2 linked regions of the Notamacropus eugenii genome follow. The protein of the gene in region 2 binds, or shares a complex with, the protein of the main gene of each other region. Links are inferred from orthologs where the notes say so. Each region holds a gene or a part of one and is shown on either strand. Other genes may lie near its edges.

What was found.
Region 1: the proteins of IRAK2 (region 2) and IRAK4 are in contact, whole or in part, in a crystal structure (PDB 3MOP), measured with the Homo sapiens proteins. The link is inferred for Notamacropus eugenii from reciprocal best matches to the Homo sapiens genes IRAK2 and IRAK4. Residues at the interface, in NP_001561.3 of Homo sapiens: Tyr6, Ile36, Lys44, Met48, Glu59, Trp62, Trp63, Trp64, Gly65, Met66, Arg67, Gln68, Ala69, Gln73; in NP_001107654.1 of Homo sapiens: Asp24, Phe25, Pro28, Gln29, Lys34, Glu92, Phe93, Phe94, Ala95, Pro96, Ser98, Val105.

The regions. Positions count from the first base shown.
Region 1 is NC_092874.1:212,024,603-212,033,041, forward strand, and holds the start of IRAK4 (interleukin-1 receptor-associated kinase 4), read right to left. Parts: upstream 3,467-8,439; 5' UTR 3,211-3,466; intron 1-3,210.
Region 2 is NC_092874.1:435,352,163-435,361,051, reverse strand, and holds the start of IRAK2 (interleukin-1 receptor-associated kinase-like 2), read left to right. Parts: upstream 1-5,510; 5' UTR 5,511-5,614; coding exon 5,615-5,762; intron 5,763-8,889. UniProt on the Homo sapiens protein: Binds to the IL-1 type I receptor following IL-1 engagement, triggering intracellular signaling cascades leading to transcriptional up-regulation and mRNA stabilization.

The sequences.
Region 1 (8,439 bases), about 220 Mb from region 2:
AGGAGATGGACAGTCAATAAAATAAGGGATTTCCAGACCTTCCTGATGAAAAGGCCAGAGTTCAATAGAAAATTTGATCTCCAAACACAAGTCTAAAGAGAGGCATAAAAAGGTAAACAAGGGGAAAAAAACCCCCAAAACTTGTTATTCAATAGGAGTAAACTGTTTACATCCCTATAAGGGAAGATGATATTTGTTCATCTTGAGAACTGTATATTTATTATGATAGTTAAAATGGATATACATAGATAGAGGGAGCGGTATAAAGTAAATGATGTCATGATTTAAGCATGCAAAGGGATTGCAACAGGAGATGTGAAAAGGAGGAGTCAGAAAAAGGTAAATTACATCACAGGAAGAGGCACAAAAATACATTACAGTAGAGGGAAAGAAGGGAGGGAGATAAGCATTGTTTGAGAGTTGCTCTCATGTGATTGGGTTCAAGGAGGGAACAACAAACTCAGGTAAGTACAGATATACAACTAGCTCTAAAGGCAGTAGGAGGGGAAGGAGAAAAGAAAAGGGAGAGGAGGCTAAAAGGGAGGGAAGAAGTTGTGAGAGAAAGGGGGCTAAAATGGAGGGGGGTTGAAAGCAGGGAAGGAAGACTGAGGGAGGCTGTGGTCAAAAATTAAAACTATTGTGGAAGGGAAGGAAGAACTAAAAGCATAAACAGGGGAAAAGTGAATGGAGGGAAAGACAGAGATAGTAATCATAACTGTGAATGTGAATGGGATGAACTCTCCCATAAAACAGAGAAGGATAGCAGAATGGATTAAAAACTATAATCCAACAATATGTTGTTTACAAGAAACACATTTGAAAGAGGGGCATACGCACAGGAAAAAAGTAAAAGGTTGGAACAGAATATATTGTGCTTCAGCTGATATAAAAAAAAAAAGCAGGGGTAGCAATCCTAATCTCAGACAAAGCAAAAGCAGAAATAGACCTAATCAAAAGAGACAAGGAAGGAAACTATATCCTGCCAAAAGGCACCATAGACAACAAAGCAATTTCATTACCAAACATATATACTACAAGTGGTATAGCATTCCCAATGGTCTTTTAAGGCAAAAAGCCTTCCACATCTTGAGAAAGAACTATGGAACTCAATCACAGATTGTAGCAGATCATTTACTTTTGTATTACGTTTTGGTTCATTATATGATTTCTCCCATTCATTTTAATTCTTTTATGCAACATGACTAAGGTGAAAATGTATTTAATGGGAATGTAAGTGTAGAACCTATGTAAGATAGCATGCTGTTCTGGGGAGGGAGTTGGGAGGGACAGGGAAAGGAAGGGGAGCGAAGGGTAAAAATCTAAGATATATGGAAGTGATTATAGAAAAATGAAAACAAATAAAATAATAAAAATTTTAAAATTAAAAAAAAAACAAAAGAAAACTGTAAAAAAAAAGTGGTCTTTTCTTGCAACAACAATTCACAGAATTGGAAGAAAAACAGGAAAAGTGGAAAACAGTATGGCACAAACCAGGTACAGACTAACATCTCACACCATACAGTAAGATAAGGTCAAAATGGGTATATGATTTACACATAAAGAGTGATACCATAAGCAAATTAGGAAAGCATGGAATAGTTTACCTATCAGATCTATGGATAAGGAAAGAATTTAGGACCAAAGGAGACAAATTGAGTATTACAAAATGTAAAATGGATAATTTTGTTTACATAAAATTAAAAAGTTTTTGCACTAACAAAAGCAATGCAACAAAAATTCGAAAGCAGAAAACTGAAAAAAAAGAAATTTTACAGTATCTCTGATAAAGATCTTATTTCTCAAATATATAGAAAACTGAGTGAAATTTATGAAAAGATGAATCAATCTCCAATTGATAAATGGTCAAGGGGTATGAAAGGCAGTTTACATACAAAAAAATCAAAGCTATCTACATAATCATATAAAAAACACTCTAAATCACTATTTGATTAAAGAAATGTAAATTAAAACAGATCTGAGATAACCACCTCATACCTATCAGATTGGCTAATATGACAAAAAGAAAGATGATAAGTGCTGGAGGGAATGTAGGAAAACTGGGACAATAATGCACTGCTCCTGCAGTTGTGAACTGATTCAAACATTCTGGAGAGCAATTTGGAACTATGCCCAAAGGGCTATAAAACTGTGCAACCCTTTGATCCAACAATGTTTCTGCTAGGTCGATTTTAAAAGTGGGGAGAGAAAGGAACTTATTTGTACAAAAATATAGCAGCTCTTTTTGTGGTGGCTACGAATTGCAAATTGAGGGGATGCCCATCAACTGGGGAATGGCAGAACAAGTGGTGGAATATGATTGTGAGAGAATACTATCCTGCTTTAAATAAAAAGAAATCTTTAGCAGGATAATTTCAAAAAAGCCTAGAAAGATTTACATGAACTGATACAGAGTGAAGCGAGCAGAACCAGGAAGAATATTGTACACAGTAACAATATTTTACAATGAAGAACTATGAATTATTTACCTATCCTCAACAAAACAATAAGACTGGTGAGGAACCTGTGGCCTCAAGGCCACATGTGTCCTTGGGTGCAGCCTTTTGACTGAGTCCCAGTTTTACAGAACAAATCATTAAGGATTTGACTATATATATATAGATAGATAGATACACACACATACATACATATATACATACATATGTGTGTTACATTATTGTATCCCATACAATTATAATATATAACTATATTTATGTAAAATGTAGTTACATTAAGGGTATTTGTTATGTGAAGTTTGGATTCTATTAAAGGGCAGCACCTGAGCACCTAGAGGGCCATATGTGGCCTCGAGGCAGCAGGTTCTCCACCCCTAGTCTAGATGACAGCCTAGGTCACCTGTTACTTAAAGCGTCAGCCCAATAAGTGACCCGGAAGTGAAAAGGCTCCTGCCTAACTTGCCATTTGCTTCGCGGGCCCAAATCCCCACTATCAGGAACGCAAGTTCCCATAAAAGAGCACAGGGCTCACTCATTTGGCCAGGAATGAGTTCTTCAGGCTCGGATTAAGTAAGGGTAGGTTCCAGGAGCAGGAAATGGGCTTGGAAAACCGTCCAAGTCCGCCTGAAAGCCCTCCTAAAAGCTAATGGGAAAACCTGGGGAGGGCACGGGGGCGGTGCCTCATTCTGCCAGGCGGACAAGTCACCATTCTGAGCGGAGAACATGAGCCCGCGGCAGCAGCAGGGCTCAGCGTTACCTGAGTTCTGTCTGTGCAGGCGCCAGCACGGGCCAGGAGAGCCAGACACCGGGAGACACGAGCCGCATCCTGGCCTGGGAAGCCCTCTCTTCCCTTCCGCATTGGCTCCAGGAAAGCTGAAACTTTACCTCTGGGGCAAGCTGGCCCCGCCCTCGAGGGGGAGGAGCCTTTAAACTCACGGCAATTGGCGAAGATTTCCTGGACTTGTAAGCCTCCTTCCTCTGCGGCCACCTAGGCATGCGCGCTGAGGAGACCCCAGAACCGGAAAGTCAGGGCGTCCCTTTGGTTCTGTCCAGGGGCTGAACTGTTTGCTGTCCAGGCTGCCTCCTTCTTCGTCTGGCGTGGGTGTAGCGAGAAGAGCGGGGCCCAGGAGGACGGTTTAAGGGCCTCTTTGATCCGAATTTCAGGGCTCAGAGAAGAACCTTAAGCCCAAAAATAAGGAAGAAAAACACTAACAGGCTTGAGCGGGTTGGAGAGAAAGGTTTAGAAACAAGGGGGAGTTGGAAGTTAGACCCTGAATATGAGGTGAAAGGGTCGTGCCCGAGAGACATTTTAATATTCGCTATTAAATATGTAAATATATTTATATACATCATATATATTACATATTACATATATTTGTATATAAGTAAAATTAAATAATGTAATATATTAAATGAATAAAAATAGCTAAATATCTGCTTTACAGATTTATCCTTGTTTGGTAGACCTAACTAGCAGTAGTTCCTGCTAGAGTCTAGGTTACATTGTATCTACGATAAACTAACACATTTATATAGACCAGTTAGGTTAACAAACGTCTCTCCCAAAAACAACTCGGCAACATCTTTAGGGCAAATGTTATCCCTCCTTTGACGCACTAGGAAACTGAGGCTCAGAAGTGTTCAAGTAAATTGTCAGTGGTTATATGACTCGTAACTGTGGAAGCCAGGACTCAGACTCTGATCTTCTGGTCCAAGCCCAGAGTTGTGTTTTTTTTTTAACGCTATGGTTGCTCACTTGACCCTGCCATGTCAATCTCCAGCTCTCACCAACTATTCTACGTTCCTTTTCTTCTTTTGCTAACCCTGTGTGTCTTCAGTGCTTAGTGAAGATCTTTTTGTCTCCTGTTTAATATTGTACTAATATATTTTTTCATGGTTCTTGAGCTCCATGATAACCTCTTTGGACTCCTTTATTATTATTATTTTTACCATGAATAGTCATTTATTCTCTCTACCACTCATCTGTCAAACAATAAAATTTATAAAATCAAACGAACAAATTGTCAAATTGCCCATGTACAAAAATGTATGTCTCATTCTACATTTTAAATCTATCACCCCTCTAACAAGAGGTGGTTAGCATAAAAAAAAACACCAGCTTTGGTCTTCTGGAATTGTGATTTGCTTTGAACTCCTTTAGCACTCTATTTGTATCATTCTTAGTGTATTTACATTTAAGAGTTATATCTTCACTACTAGACTTTAAGTTTCTCGAGGACAGAGACCATGTCTTGTGCAACATTGTGTTTTTTATAGTACCTTGCACAGATGTTAAATATTTGGTGAATGAATGCTCATAGTTGCCTACATTTGTTCATTCATAGGCAGTTTGTGGAAAGAACTGCACTCTTTGGTATCTAATGTTTAACTGCCACTACTACAGAAATGATTCAAATTATAGATGTAAACATCTAGCACGATTATTCATTCGTTATAATTTCCCCCTTTTAGCAGTTACTTTGCTAATAAAATGCAAAGAGGAACAGAAAATTTTGCAAGAAAATTGCCACAGCTGTTGTCATGTGAATGTAAGGACTCCAGGAACTTTCATCTGAATAATAATTTCCCCAATAATATAACCTTTGAAGACTTGATAAGAACATTTAAAGTAGGGCTGGAGGACTTTTCTTTTATATTCAGAAAACAAAATACCTTCTTCAGTTTCTCAAGGGCTCTCTGCTACTCCTACAAAACAATTCAGTCAGCCAGGGAAATTATTCCCAAAAAATTTCCTTTTGAAATTAAAGGAGGATATTTATTTGACAGAGGAAAATATACAGGTAAATATGTATTAGGAACTTGGTTCATTATTTTTGGGGATACAATGTCCTGACAAATATCAGAACAATTGTACATGTAGAACTTAAGGATTTTTTATTTTTAATCTCTTTGATTGGCTTCATTAACTAATTAGGTTAGCATAAAAGTAAACATTTGGTTATAATGGAAATGTAGCCTATTTTTTTTTCTGTTGCAGCAAGTCCTCTTGCATCCTTCCAGAGCAGGGTCAGGTACATTTTGTTAAAAGGAAAATTCTTTATTTTGACTTTTGCTTTGATTAATGAAACAAAACAGGAAAAAGAGAATTAAAAGAAGTTTATTAAAAAATACATCAAGGTAGCAACATGTTGATAGGCTGATCACTAGAGATGAGCAAGGGATTCAAGATGGAGTCAGCTTTTATTGATAACTTTTGTAATGAGAGAAAAACAATTCAGTTAGGCCCACATCAGCAAAAATGGATGGGCTACTGCATCTCAGCTCCTTCCCAAGTGGTTGTATGTTAGGGCTAATGGAATGATCTGGTACTTGAGGGACAGGTAATACAAAACCTGCAGACTGGGTTATGTGTGTCTACAGAGCCTCCCTTAATACTGATTGACAAGCAGGACTGGGAACAATGGGGTCACTGTTCTCCCTTCTCTTGTTTCCTATGCTTCTAGGGTTACCTCTAAGGAGCTGGGATGTCTCTTCTCAAATGCTCAAAGCCCTATTCCAGGGCATTCCCCCCACAGCTACTAATAACTAGCTTTCCAGTTTTATTTAAACAGTTAATATTGATTACCTCTTACAGAGATAATTCAAAAATTTATCAAGAACAAAAGAAAAGTATTGCCTCTACAAGGTGGAGGGTGGGGATACACTAGCCATATTACACTTTGGTCCTTGGGGAAAGTAGACTTGGATTTATAGATATTCTGTAAAGCACTGCTGCCATCAAGTTCACATCCCAATGTGGCATTCCTGCCGAATGAATCTTTCTCTCAGTTATTATTTTGCTGGACCCAGAAGGTCAGTTCTCACCCTCTCCTTAGATGCCTGGACTTCCTGGCTGTAAATTCTAATACATCTTCTCCTCCAGGAGAGATCAGATCTTCCAGGGATTTGCTGATGGTGACTTGCTGTCCTGATCTCCCAAAGTTTAGAAGGTCATAATTCCAATCCCTATCAAAATGAATGAACAAACCAGGCCCTTACAACATTCTCTCTCTCTCTCTCTCTCTCTCTCTCTCTCCCTCCCTCTCTTTCTCTCTCTCTCCCTCCCTCTCTCTCTCCCTCTCTCTCTCTCTCTCTTTCTCTCTCTCTCTCTCTTCCTGTCTCTCTCTCCAAAATGCTGTCAGCCAGAAGTGTCAACAATTTTTTTATCCTTTTTTAAAAACATGATTTATTTTTAGTTTTCAACAGACACTCCATAAGATTTTGAGTTCCAAACTTTCTCATTCAGACAAATAACCTTACATCTTTATTTGAATTCTATATAATGTAACTTCACAACGACTCATGGAGGGAGCCACATATTTCTGACTCTTTCTCTACATAAAGACCTACAAATATTTCAGATTTGGGGGTTTATTCTTGCAAACAGCAGGTGTTATGGTGAGAAAGAAACTGATAAGGTAGTAGTAAAACCAAGCTAATCTATCTAAAGTTGATAATAATTTAAACTAAAGGCTAGTAAATTAAAATTACAAGATCATGGACTTAAGAGTTGAAAGGTACCTTAGGTGGAATGGAGTCCCAACCCACTCGTCTTACTAATGCAGAAACTGAATCCCAGTGAAGTAAAGTGATTTGCTCATGGTCATATATAAGTGTATGAGTTGGTATTTGAAAACTATTTTCCTGACTCCATGTTCAGTGTCTTATCCACTATACCACACTGCAAAAGGAAAATCCACATTCTAAACAAAAAAGAATTTTGAAAATTAATGTGAACATTTAAAATGAAACAAATCCATAATGGGAATTATATGCATGTGTGTGAGTGAGTGTAGGGGGAGAAGGAAGGTGGGGCTGGGTGTATGGGATATAAATGCTTGTTTCCTTCCCTTGTCCTCCCCCTTCTCACAGATAAGTCACTTAACCCTTTAGTGCCAACTAAGTTGCTGATCTGCAGTGATAGAAAAATGGGAGTCCCCAACAGCAATAAAAAAATAACAACAGCCCCTTCAAAACCCAGTTCATTTGATATTTTAGACTGAGGGATGAGGGAGAGAAAGGAAGGGGCAACTGGAAAGTATCATAGAGTGATGTACAGTGGGAACTCTTAATACATTAAAATTGCTAAAATAGTTACGAAGGTTTGTCAGGAACCCTGAAATGCTGGATATTTGGGTTGTGGAAATATAACTCTTTGAGTTAGCACCCAGCTATTGTAATAAAACTGCTCACACAATTCTAAGAAATAGACAAGGCAGCATACCACATAGTGATTAGCTTGACACAAAGCTAGAGGAACAAATAGCAAATGGTGTGTAACCATATTCTGGCACCAAGAGTAGTATAATTGGGAAATTGCACAGAGTATTTACCTGTTTCCAGTTGAGTGGGGGGGGGGGGGGGGCAGGGTGCACATGTGTATGAACTTAGCAATCAGATGCTGTGGAACTCACAACTTCCCAACTTCTTTGGTACCGTGGGGATGTCAAGTAATATCTACATCAAGCCAATGAAAAGGAAGAGCCAATAACTGACGAGACCTTTAAAAAGGAAGTGACAATCTCTCCTCCCACCCACACTTCCTTCCCTCCAAGTGACTCTGAGAGTCCCCATAAGGGAAGCTGTGGGATGGAATGAAAAATGGCAGCAAGTGAACCACTTCCAGAGAACAGGTAGAACAGAGACACTGAACTTTAGTGAACTTAAACCTGGGCCTCTTGTTTTGTGTTTCTTTACCTGACCCTAAGTGACCAAACATCTATCTTGAGATGGAAGTGTCCAGTCAACCTTATTAGTTCAAGAGATTCAGAGGCATTGCTGACTACACTTTTCTTTTTTTTAAAAAAAAAAAATTATTTATTTTTAGTTTTCAACATTCATTTTTATAAGATTTTGACTTCTAAATTTCCCCCCCTTATTTGTGTCCCTTCCCTTCTCCCCAAGACAGCATGTAATCTCATATAAGGCTATACATGTACAATCGTATTAAACATATTTCCACATTAGTCATGCTGTGAAAGAAGAA
Region 2 (8,889 bases):
TTAAAACAATAGAGGCGTTGATCAGTGCGAACAGATTAAATACACACTGTACAGAAGCAAATTAACGTAGTATAATTTTTGATAAGTCCAAAGTCCCCAGCTACCAGTGTAAGGACTCATGTCATTCCAACAAAAATCCTGGGAAAATTGGAAAGCAGGATGGTAGAGATTAGATAAGGAGCCACATCTCCCACCATATACCAAGATAGGCTCCCACTGGACTTGTGTCTTAAGATATAAAAGATCATAAGCTAGAGGAATGCAAAATGAAATGAGCAGGCAAGTGCCTGGGATGACATGTGGATAAGGCCAGGGGACTTCCTTCTGGGAGTCATAGTGGTGCCTGATGTGAGTGGCTTAGAGAGCCCTGAGCATATGTAGACTCCTAACTTGCCAGTCTACTAACCATCTGGTTAGGCAGACATGACCCCATGAACACAGGCTTCCGTCCTTGTCATCACTGGTTCTTTTTTCCTTTTTAGGTGAGGGTTGAAGTCTCCAATCTCATGAGTAAAAGATCAGTACAGCATCGATGCCCCATGGAGCAATAAGTGACCTTCAGAATCCAGCCCATGGTGGTCAAGATGAGGACTCCTATAACTCATGTCTCTTCTAAATATGAACTTGGTGGGACCAATAGTATATTAAAAAGTTATGCTAAGAGTGTCATGCCCACTGCCCTCAGTGAACTGAGATTGGGATCTGGGAGATTGTTTCTCTAGTGTGGTGGGAAAATGTTTATACTTCTATTCTTGCTATATCTTTGAAGTAAATATCCTTTTATAAAAATTAATTGATGTTAAGTGTTAAAGGGAACTGGTACACTACTTGCTATTGGCTAAGGGGTGTGGGGAACATAACCAATGAGGACTTGACCAAGTGACATTAGAGAAAAAAAATAACTAAAAGACCTCAGGATATCCCCTAGAATCCCAAGGGTGAGCTGCACCTGGCCTGCCTCTGGGAGAATGAACCTGAGCTTGTCAATACAGAATAAATGAGTTTTTACAACTATACGTAGGGATCAAACAAGGAATTGGGAGGAGCCCAATAACCGAAGATCAGACGGACAATTTTCATTATATGGAATAAAACATTTTTTTCATAAGCAAATCCAGTGCAGTTAAAACTAGAAGGGAAACAGTTAATTGGGGAAAAATAATCTTTGCAGTACTTTTTTTGAGAAAAAATTCTCATATCAGCTCTTATCAGTGCAGTGGCAATCCATGATTCCAAAAGACCAAAGATGGAGCATGCTGCCTACCTCCTGACAGAGGACTCAAGATGCAGATTAAGATGTGGTCAGTGTGTAGGAAATTGCTTTCTTTGACTGTGTATTTATTATAAGGGTCTTCTCAAGGTTGGGTCTAGAAGTAATTCTCTAGAAAGAGAACAAATGCTATTTAATTGCATGTAATTGGGGAGAAAAGATTGGATGTGAAAGATGTGAAAGTAGAAATTGCAATCTGAGGAAGGATTAGGACTCAAATGTTTTTGACTTAAAGCCAGGCTCAGTACAACACCCTGACGACCGTAATTTGAAGAGATCATGAACATACCCTATAATCCAGGAGTCTCCTACCAGTGACTCTGGGCTTACATGTGTGTTCAGTTCTGGGGTCCTAATGCCAATATTTTTGACTCCACTCCTCAACCCCAGAATAACTCCAGAGAAATCTCTAAAACAAAATTTAGTTCTGGGTCATATCTTGTTCAGTCATTTCAGTCTTGTCCAGCTCTTCCTGACTTCATTTGGAGTTTTCTTAGCAAAGAATGGTTTGCCATTTCTTTCAGTTATGTGATTTGCCCAGGGTCACTCAGCTAGTAAGTGCTTTGGGCCAGATTTGGACTCATCAGCCTGACTCTAGAACTGGCACTCTATCTGTTTCATCACCTCCTGCCCCCAGGTCATATGTAGAATCTCCTCAAAGAAATAGTATTTGGATAGCCTTGTAAGGTTTGCATATTATAAAGCATATAGTGCTTTACATATTATTTGATCCTCACAGCAAACCTAGGAAGGTAAGCGTTGTTATTATTCTTGTTTTTACAGAGGAGGAAACTGAGGTGAAGTGATTTACCCATGGTCACTGGGTGACTAAGTGCCTAAGGCCAGATTCAAAATTAGGTCTTCCTGACTCCTTAGTGTCACCATTTTCTCTGCTGTGCCACCTAGAGGTTACTCTAGAAAAGGTACACACTGTTCAGTACGAACCTTGGGAATAGGACAACTGTTTTATTTCCTGCATCATGCAAAAAACTCATAGATATGCACTGACAAATACAGAAAAGATAAGAATACTTCAAATAGTCCATTACACTTACTATACTTTTTGGAAGACAAAATCCCTTTGTGCAGCTGTGGTGGAATAGATACTTTGCATTGATCTCAATACAAATCTTCAATTTGAAAAGGCTACAAGCCAAGACCAAAGTGGAGGGAGTGTGGAGTGTTGGTGCATGAATTTCTGTTTGCAGATGATTGTGCGCTCGATGCAGCCTCTGAAGCTTGAAGTGCCAAACGTTCAAACTATGCTTCAGAGAGTGCAGCTGTGATGGGCTGGCCATGTTATTCGAATGCAAAATGTACACTTGCCAAAAAGACCATTTTATGGAGAACTAACATGGGGCAGGTGATCACATGGTAATCAGGAGAAGCGATACAAGGACACGCTCAAGGTATCTCTCAAGAACTTATTTGACTGCGACATGGGAGACACTGGCACAGAACCACTCAGCATGGTGTGCTCACATCAGAAAGGGTGCTGTGCTCTGTGAGCAAAGCAGAATGGAGACAGCACAAAGTAAACGTAGGATGTGCAAATTTGGAGTATCCACCCCAAATATTTACACGGACTATCTGTGCCCAACCTGTGGTAGAGCATTCCCAGCTCATATTGGTCTGATCAGCTGCAGTCGGACACACTGAAACTTCACTTTATCATGGTGATGTCATTTTGGTCCTCTTCAAGAATGAAGGACAACCACAAACAGTGACCTGGCAGTAGGGTCATCGCTTGGTAGTTATTCAGGCACTCTTTAATTCAGGATATTCTTGCCCATACTGGGAAATTAATTTTTAAAAGTTACTTTTTTTTAGATTTTTTTTTTGTTCTGATTTTAACAAACACAAATAAAATGAGCATATCTATTGGAGCAGAGGAAGAGATTGTACCCTCAATGATACATCTCCATTCTGTCCTCAATCCTTTTTGTTGAGATAACTGTAAAAATTTGACATTTAATTTTTTTTTTTGAAATTTAACTTTTAAAGTTGTCATGCTTAGCTTTGTTTCCTTGTGTTCTCTTCTGTGTATTTAAAAAAATATTTAATTGACTTTTTTCTTTTGTAAGTCTGTCCCTATCTCCCTATCTTCAGTCTTCCTTCATCCCCAACTGAAAAAAAAAAAAGAAAACCTTTGTAACAAATATACAGTCAAGCAAAGCAAATTCCTACATTAGTCATATCCAAATTTTTTCTTTTCTTTTTTTTTTTTTAGCCAATCAAAAGAAACTGTAGATCACCATAAACTCCTCAACCTCCACTTAAGGAGAGGGGAACAGAACAGACATCTCCTCAGACATCACCTCATTTCCCACCCAGCTGTACTCATTTTTGGATGATTTCTGCATTATTTTGCAAAATTTAATAAAACTTGGCCCTTAAAACTCATTAGTACCTGCAGCTTCCTCTTATTGGCCAAAGGAGCTATGAACTCCTCATGCAGCATTTAAGGAGGTGGAGTAGGTTAGATTTATTTTCCACCTAGCTGCACTCATTTTGGCTTCTCTGGCTATACTCATTTAGGAATTTGTTTTTAACTGCTCCATTATTCCTCATGCCAGGTGACCTCTCTTCCCTCCCTTCACCCTATTTTCCAGCTTCCTTTTGTGTTTTGTCTTCCCACATCAGCTTGTAATCTCCTTGAAGGCAGGGACTGTTAAAAATATTCATTAACCCTGGGTATTATCTCTAGAAAAAACTCTGGGCTTCCCCCTCCAAGAGATGTAGTAGTTAAATTGAACAGTTTCGGTAGCAAAACTCAAAGGGGGCCCCCCTCAAAGCAACCTTCCATAGTTGCTGGTTTTGTTTATTCCCATGACCTAGGTATTTAGACTATGTTCTAATCATTCACCCATTGCTCCTTGGAAATGTAACTCAAGATCTTTACTGCATTCGGGAGAAATCTCAGGATGCAGATACTATAAAGCATAACAAGTCCCAGGTACATAGTTTACTTGCAGAATCCATCTTGGTTCAGTCCTAAATCTGGTGCCATCTTGCTTTATCCCTAGGTCATGGAGGATAGCTCCGTCCCTTTACCATAGAGGAAACAAGTTTCTAGGTAGTTCCTCTGGCATTGTGTACTCTCCTTAACTCCTGCTCTTGATTAACCCCAAAGTCCCCTCCTTTCTTACCCACAATTCTTTCCCTCATCTTTGCTTTCAGCTTAATAGGAACCAACTATTATAATCCCTGTTTTTCTATTTCTCCCTTGCCCATCCAATGTAAAGCTGTAGCTACCTTCCCACAACACAGAGCTTATCTATGGACCCATGTAGCTTGACAGTTGAGGACAACATCATTTTAGTCACAGAGGTTGTGCTGCATGGTGTAGACAAGCACTGGATTTGGAGTCAGGTGACCTGTTTGATTCATGGATCTTCTATTTACTTGTAAGTAACTTCCTTTGGCCTCAGGTTCATCATTGTTAAATGAAGGGTCCTAGTTAAATGGGACCTAGTTAAGGTCTCTTTCAACTCTATAAATCCCATTTTAGGGTAAAACTGAATCACTTTGCCAGATTCTGAGCCCCTGTTCAATTGAACTCTCAGCCTCAGGTATTCCATTAATTAGTTTTTCCACCAGGAAAAATCAGTTTCTTGGGTCTTCAATTTTATCATCTGTAAATTAGAGGCATGGATTGTATAGCAATTTATATTTTTCAAAATACTTCTGCTTATATTATCTTAGTCATTTCCTCAAAACAGAGGAGATAGTAGGCTAATAGCCTGGCTTGAGAGCAAAGGAAATTGAAAACTCAAGAAGTCATATGACTTGTGCAGTTTCCCAGCTAGTAAGTAGTTGAATTAGTAAGTAGAAATAGATCCCAGGGCTCAGCCCTCATTTCTGATTCCTTCTGTCTTTTGGGTTCAATTTTTGATTCCCAAGGCCCTTGGCTAGAATTATTGTGTTATGGCTCTTAGATACGCTTGGTGGCAGTGTTGCTCAGTCCAGCTCACCCCACCCCTGCCCAGCTTAGTTTAGCCCAACTTCCTGGAAAATTGCCGCTAGTTACCAAAGGGTCCTTCCCCTTGGGGCTCCTCCCCTTGGTGCCGGCCACTTTCTGACTCATACTGGGCTGAAAATTAGCCTAGCAGACATCCTGTTGACTAGTGGGAATCTGGACCAGAACACAGTTCAATGCCTTGCTGTTAACAAAGGGGACACCCTTTTTGGGTTTCTCCCCTACAAGGAGGAACATTAGCTCAGGAGTGGCTTGGTTGCTTCTCCTGGGAGGAGAGAACAGATCTGAGGTCCCAGCAAGCTGTTGGCTGTGGAGAGGAAAGAGACTTAATCACAGCAGATTGTAAACTGTTGGAAGCAGGGAAAATGGCCTTGCAGCCACCTCTGCTGCCACCCCTACCTGCTCTCCAGAGCCCCAGGACTTCCCAGTATATCTATCAGCTTCCTTCTTGGGTGCTGGAGGACTTATGCCACAAGATGGACAGCCTGAATGAATGGGACTGGATGCAGTTTGGTGAGAGCAGTGTCAAGGGGGCTGGGGGTCCCTGGGAAGACTGAATGCTTAGGAAGTTGGGAGCCCCCCGCAATGACTGCCTGACAGGGTACTGTGGACTTCTAGGGGACTTAGATGATGGGGTCATCCAAGAGCACATAACCTATCTCCCTCAGGGAGAACAGGATTTAGAGTTTGGAAGAGATCTTATTGATAGTCTGGTCTGACCCTTTCATTTTACAGAGAAGAAAATGGAAGCCTTCATAGAGGGGGAAAAGGAGGAGTCTGAGGCCAAGATAGGGAACTTTTCCCAAGGTTGTACAGATAGTCCATAGCAGAACTGTGATTTCAACTCAGGTGTTCTGGCTTCGTGACTCAGAACACTGGCCACTGCCCTATATAAGCTCTTTTGTTCTTGTTTAAGTATCATTCTACCTTTTGCTTTTGAGCTATATTTTTAGCTTGTTCCACATAACACAGTGTAATGGACAAAACTTCAGAATGGTAAGTGAGTTCGGGTCCTTATCTTTTGCTCCTCTATGAGGTTAGATTAGATGGTTTTTTGTATCTCTTTCATCTCTAAGATTCTGTGATTTATTAAGCTATCTAATGATGAATGTAACCATGGAGGCAAAGAGCTGTATTGAAGAGCTGACCTAGAGTCAGGAGAATCTAGGTACAAGTCTCACTGGCCATACATGCTGGCTTGCCACTTAGCCTAGGCACCTCTGCACCATGGTGGAGGAGTACTGGATCTGAACCCAAGAAGATCTGAATTCGAAGCCTATTTTAGATGCTTCCTACCTCGCTGTATGACTTGCACAAGTCACGTAACTTTTTGTCAGTTTGCCTATCTCTAAAATGGGGATGAAAATATCATCAACCTTATGGGTCTCGTGTGAGGCTCCAGTGAGATGTTATAGGTAAGGGCTTTACAAGCCTTACAAGTTTAGCTGATATTTATTACTGTTAGTTTCTCACAAACTCTAAGTTGAAGGGAAGGTACCAACCCCCTTTTGGTAGTGGTAATTTCCTCCTCTGGACATTCCCTGTTTTGTAAGATCACAGGTCTAGCGATTTTCTAGAATCTAGAAAAAGATGTGTTGTGTGGTAATAGTCTTCTGGGATTAGTTACTAGTCATGTTTCTTGGTGCTAGGTGCTGAAAATTGGTTACTCGGTAGGTCAGACTGTGCTTTGTAATTGTGATGGTGATCAGAAGGAAAAGGAATGATGGTATACAAAATACCGCTTCTCTTGTCCATGGGGAAAGCATTGTAAATGTGCCCTTCTCTGTGCTGTCTTCCCAAGGATACTGGGAAATGAATCACAGCCTCACAGGAAGAGAAACCATTTTATGACCTTGATACCTTCCTTTCAAAAAAATACCCAAGAAATACCCTTCCTTTCTGCCATATATTACATGGAGTTTTGGAGTACAGATGTAAATGAGATTATCCAGAGTATTGAGGATATCAGTTTATAATCAGGACAACTAGGTGGCACAGTGGATAGATAGTGCTGGGCCTGGAGTCAGGAAGACTTATCTTGAGTTCAAATCTTGTCTCAGGCACGTATGAGCTGTGTAATCCCGGGCAAGTCACTTAACCCTGTTTGCCTCAGTTTCCTCATCAGTAAAATGAGACAGAGAAGAAAATGGCAGGCTACTCTAGTATCGTTGCCAAGAAAACCCCAAGTGAAGTCACAGTTAAAAGAAGTGAACACCAACAACAAAGAAGTTAGATAAGAGATGGAACACCTACTTTAGAAGGGTTGTTTTATACTAGACTGGGTTACTGTAAAAGGCTATGAAATCTCCCTGGCTTGAAGGGGAGGGCCAGGACGGATCTTTAAAGCGGGCATTTTGTACTCTCTCCTTGCTCATAGGTTTGGATGCTTGTCTATGTCATTGGAAGTGAAAAGAGTTTATCAGTTAAAGAGGCAAGCATCTCTTGGGGTCTAGGCTGTTTTTGGTGAATTGCTGAAAGGGCATTGAGTTTAGTCTGAGTTAGGATGGAATCCACTCTTAATTTACTAACCAGGAATTTTGTACATAGTCAATAAACCTTTGGCCTCCTTGGATCATAGATTCCAAGTGAGAGATGACCATAGAGACCATCTGGCCCAACCCCCTTCATTTTGCAGACTAGGAAACAGAGGTCTGAAGAGGTTTGATGACCTCACGCAAGTGTATATGAGAGGTGGAGTAGAGGTATCTTTTCTCATCTGTGTCTGCTACATAAAAGATATTTAATATATTCTTGTTGATTGTCCAATGAGGAATTTGGATTAGATGACTTGTAAGGTTTCTTCCAGTCCTAAATCATCCTATGAGTTTATAAGCATCCTATTTTAACCTCCCGGTCAGTGTGGATCCCTTTCTACAGTGGCCCTGACTGGGCCCCACTCAGCCTCAGTGTCAGGGGAGGCAAGGAGGCAGAAGGGATGGATTCTCAGGGACTTCCAGGTCTCAGTCTATGATTTGTAGACTTTATGGAGGGGAAATCAATTTCCCTTGCTGATGACTGTGAATAGGCACTTTACATTTATAGCCAAGAAAGAGAGACATTCAGTGACACTTTGTCTTGTACTGACAGGTTAGTTTCCTAAGCCACAGGCTGGGGCTGAGGGAAACCTCCTTGTCACCCCCCAAAGACATTTATTGAGAGCTTCCTACGTGTCCTTATGAATCTCCAGTCACTGTGCTAAGTGCTGGGGATACAATGAACGGTAAAAGCAACTTGATCCTTCCCTCAAAGAGCTCATCATCATCATCACCCTCCTATTCCTAGCCTCCCTTGAGATTTCTCTCATTCTCAAGAAATAAAGTACTTCCTTTGGGTGACTTAGAGACTTCTCCCACCCCAGCCTTGTAATCTAAAGGGCCCTCAGAAATCCTGGAGTAAACCCTCTGCTTTTCAGAGAACTGTACTAGAGACTCAAACAGGCAGAGTATGATGTTCAAGGTCCCCTCATGATTAATAGAGTCAATCCTAACCCCCTTATTTCCAGTATCTTGTGGCTGGAGTCTTTCCTTAATGCCTCACTTCCTCAATAACTTAGGGAGGGAGGCAGGTTAAAAGGAATCCAGGGACTTTGGGTATGGGGAAGGCAGTCCAGGACACACTGTGTTCCTCTTAAGATCCTTGG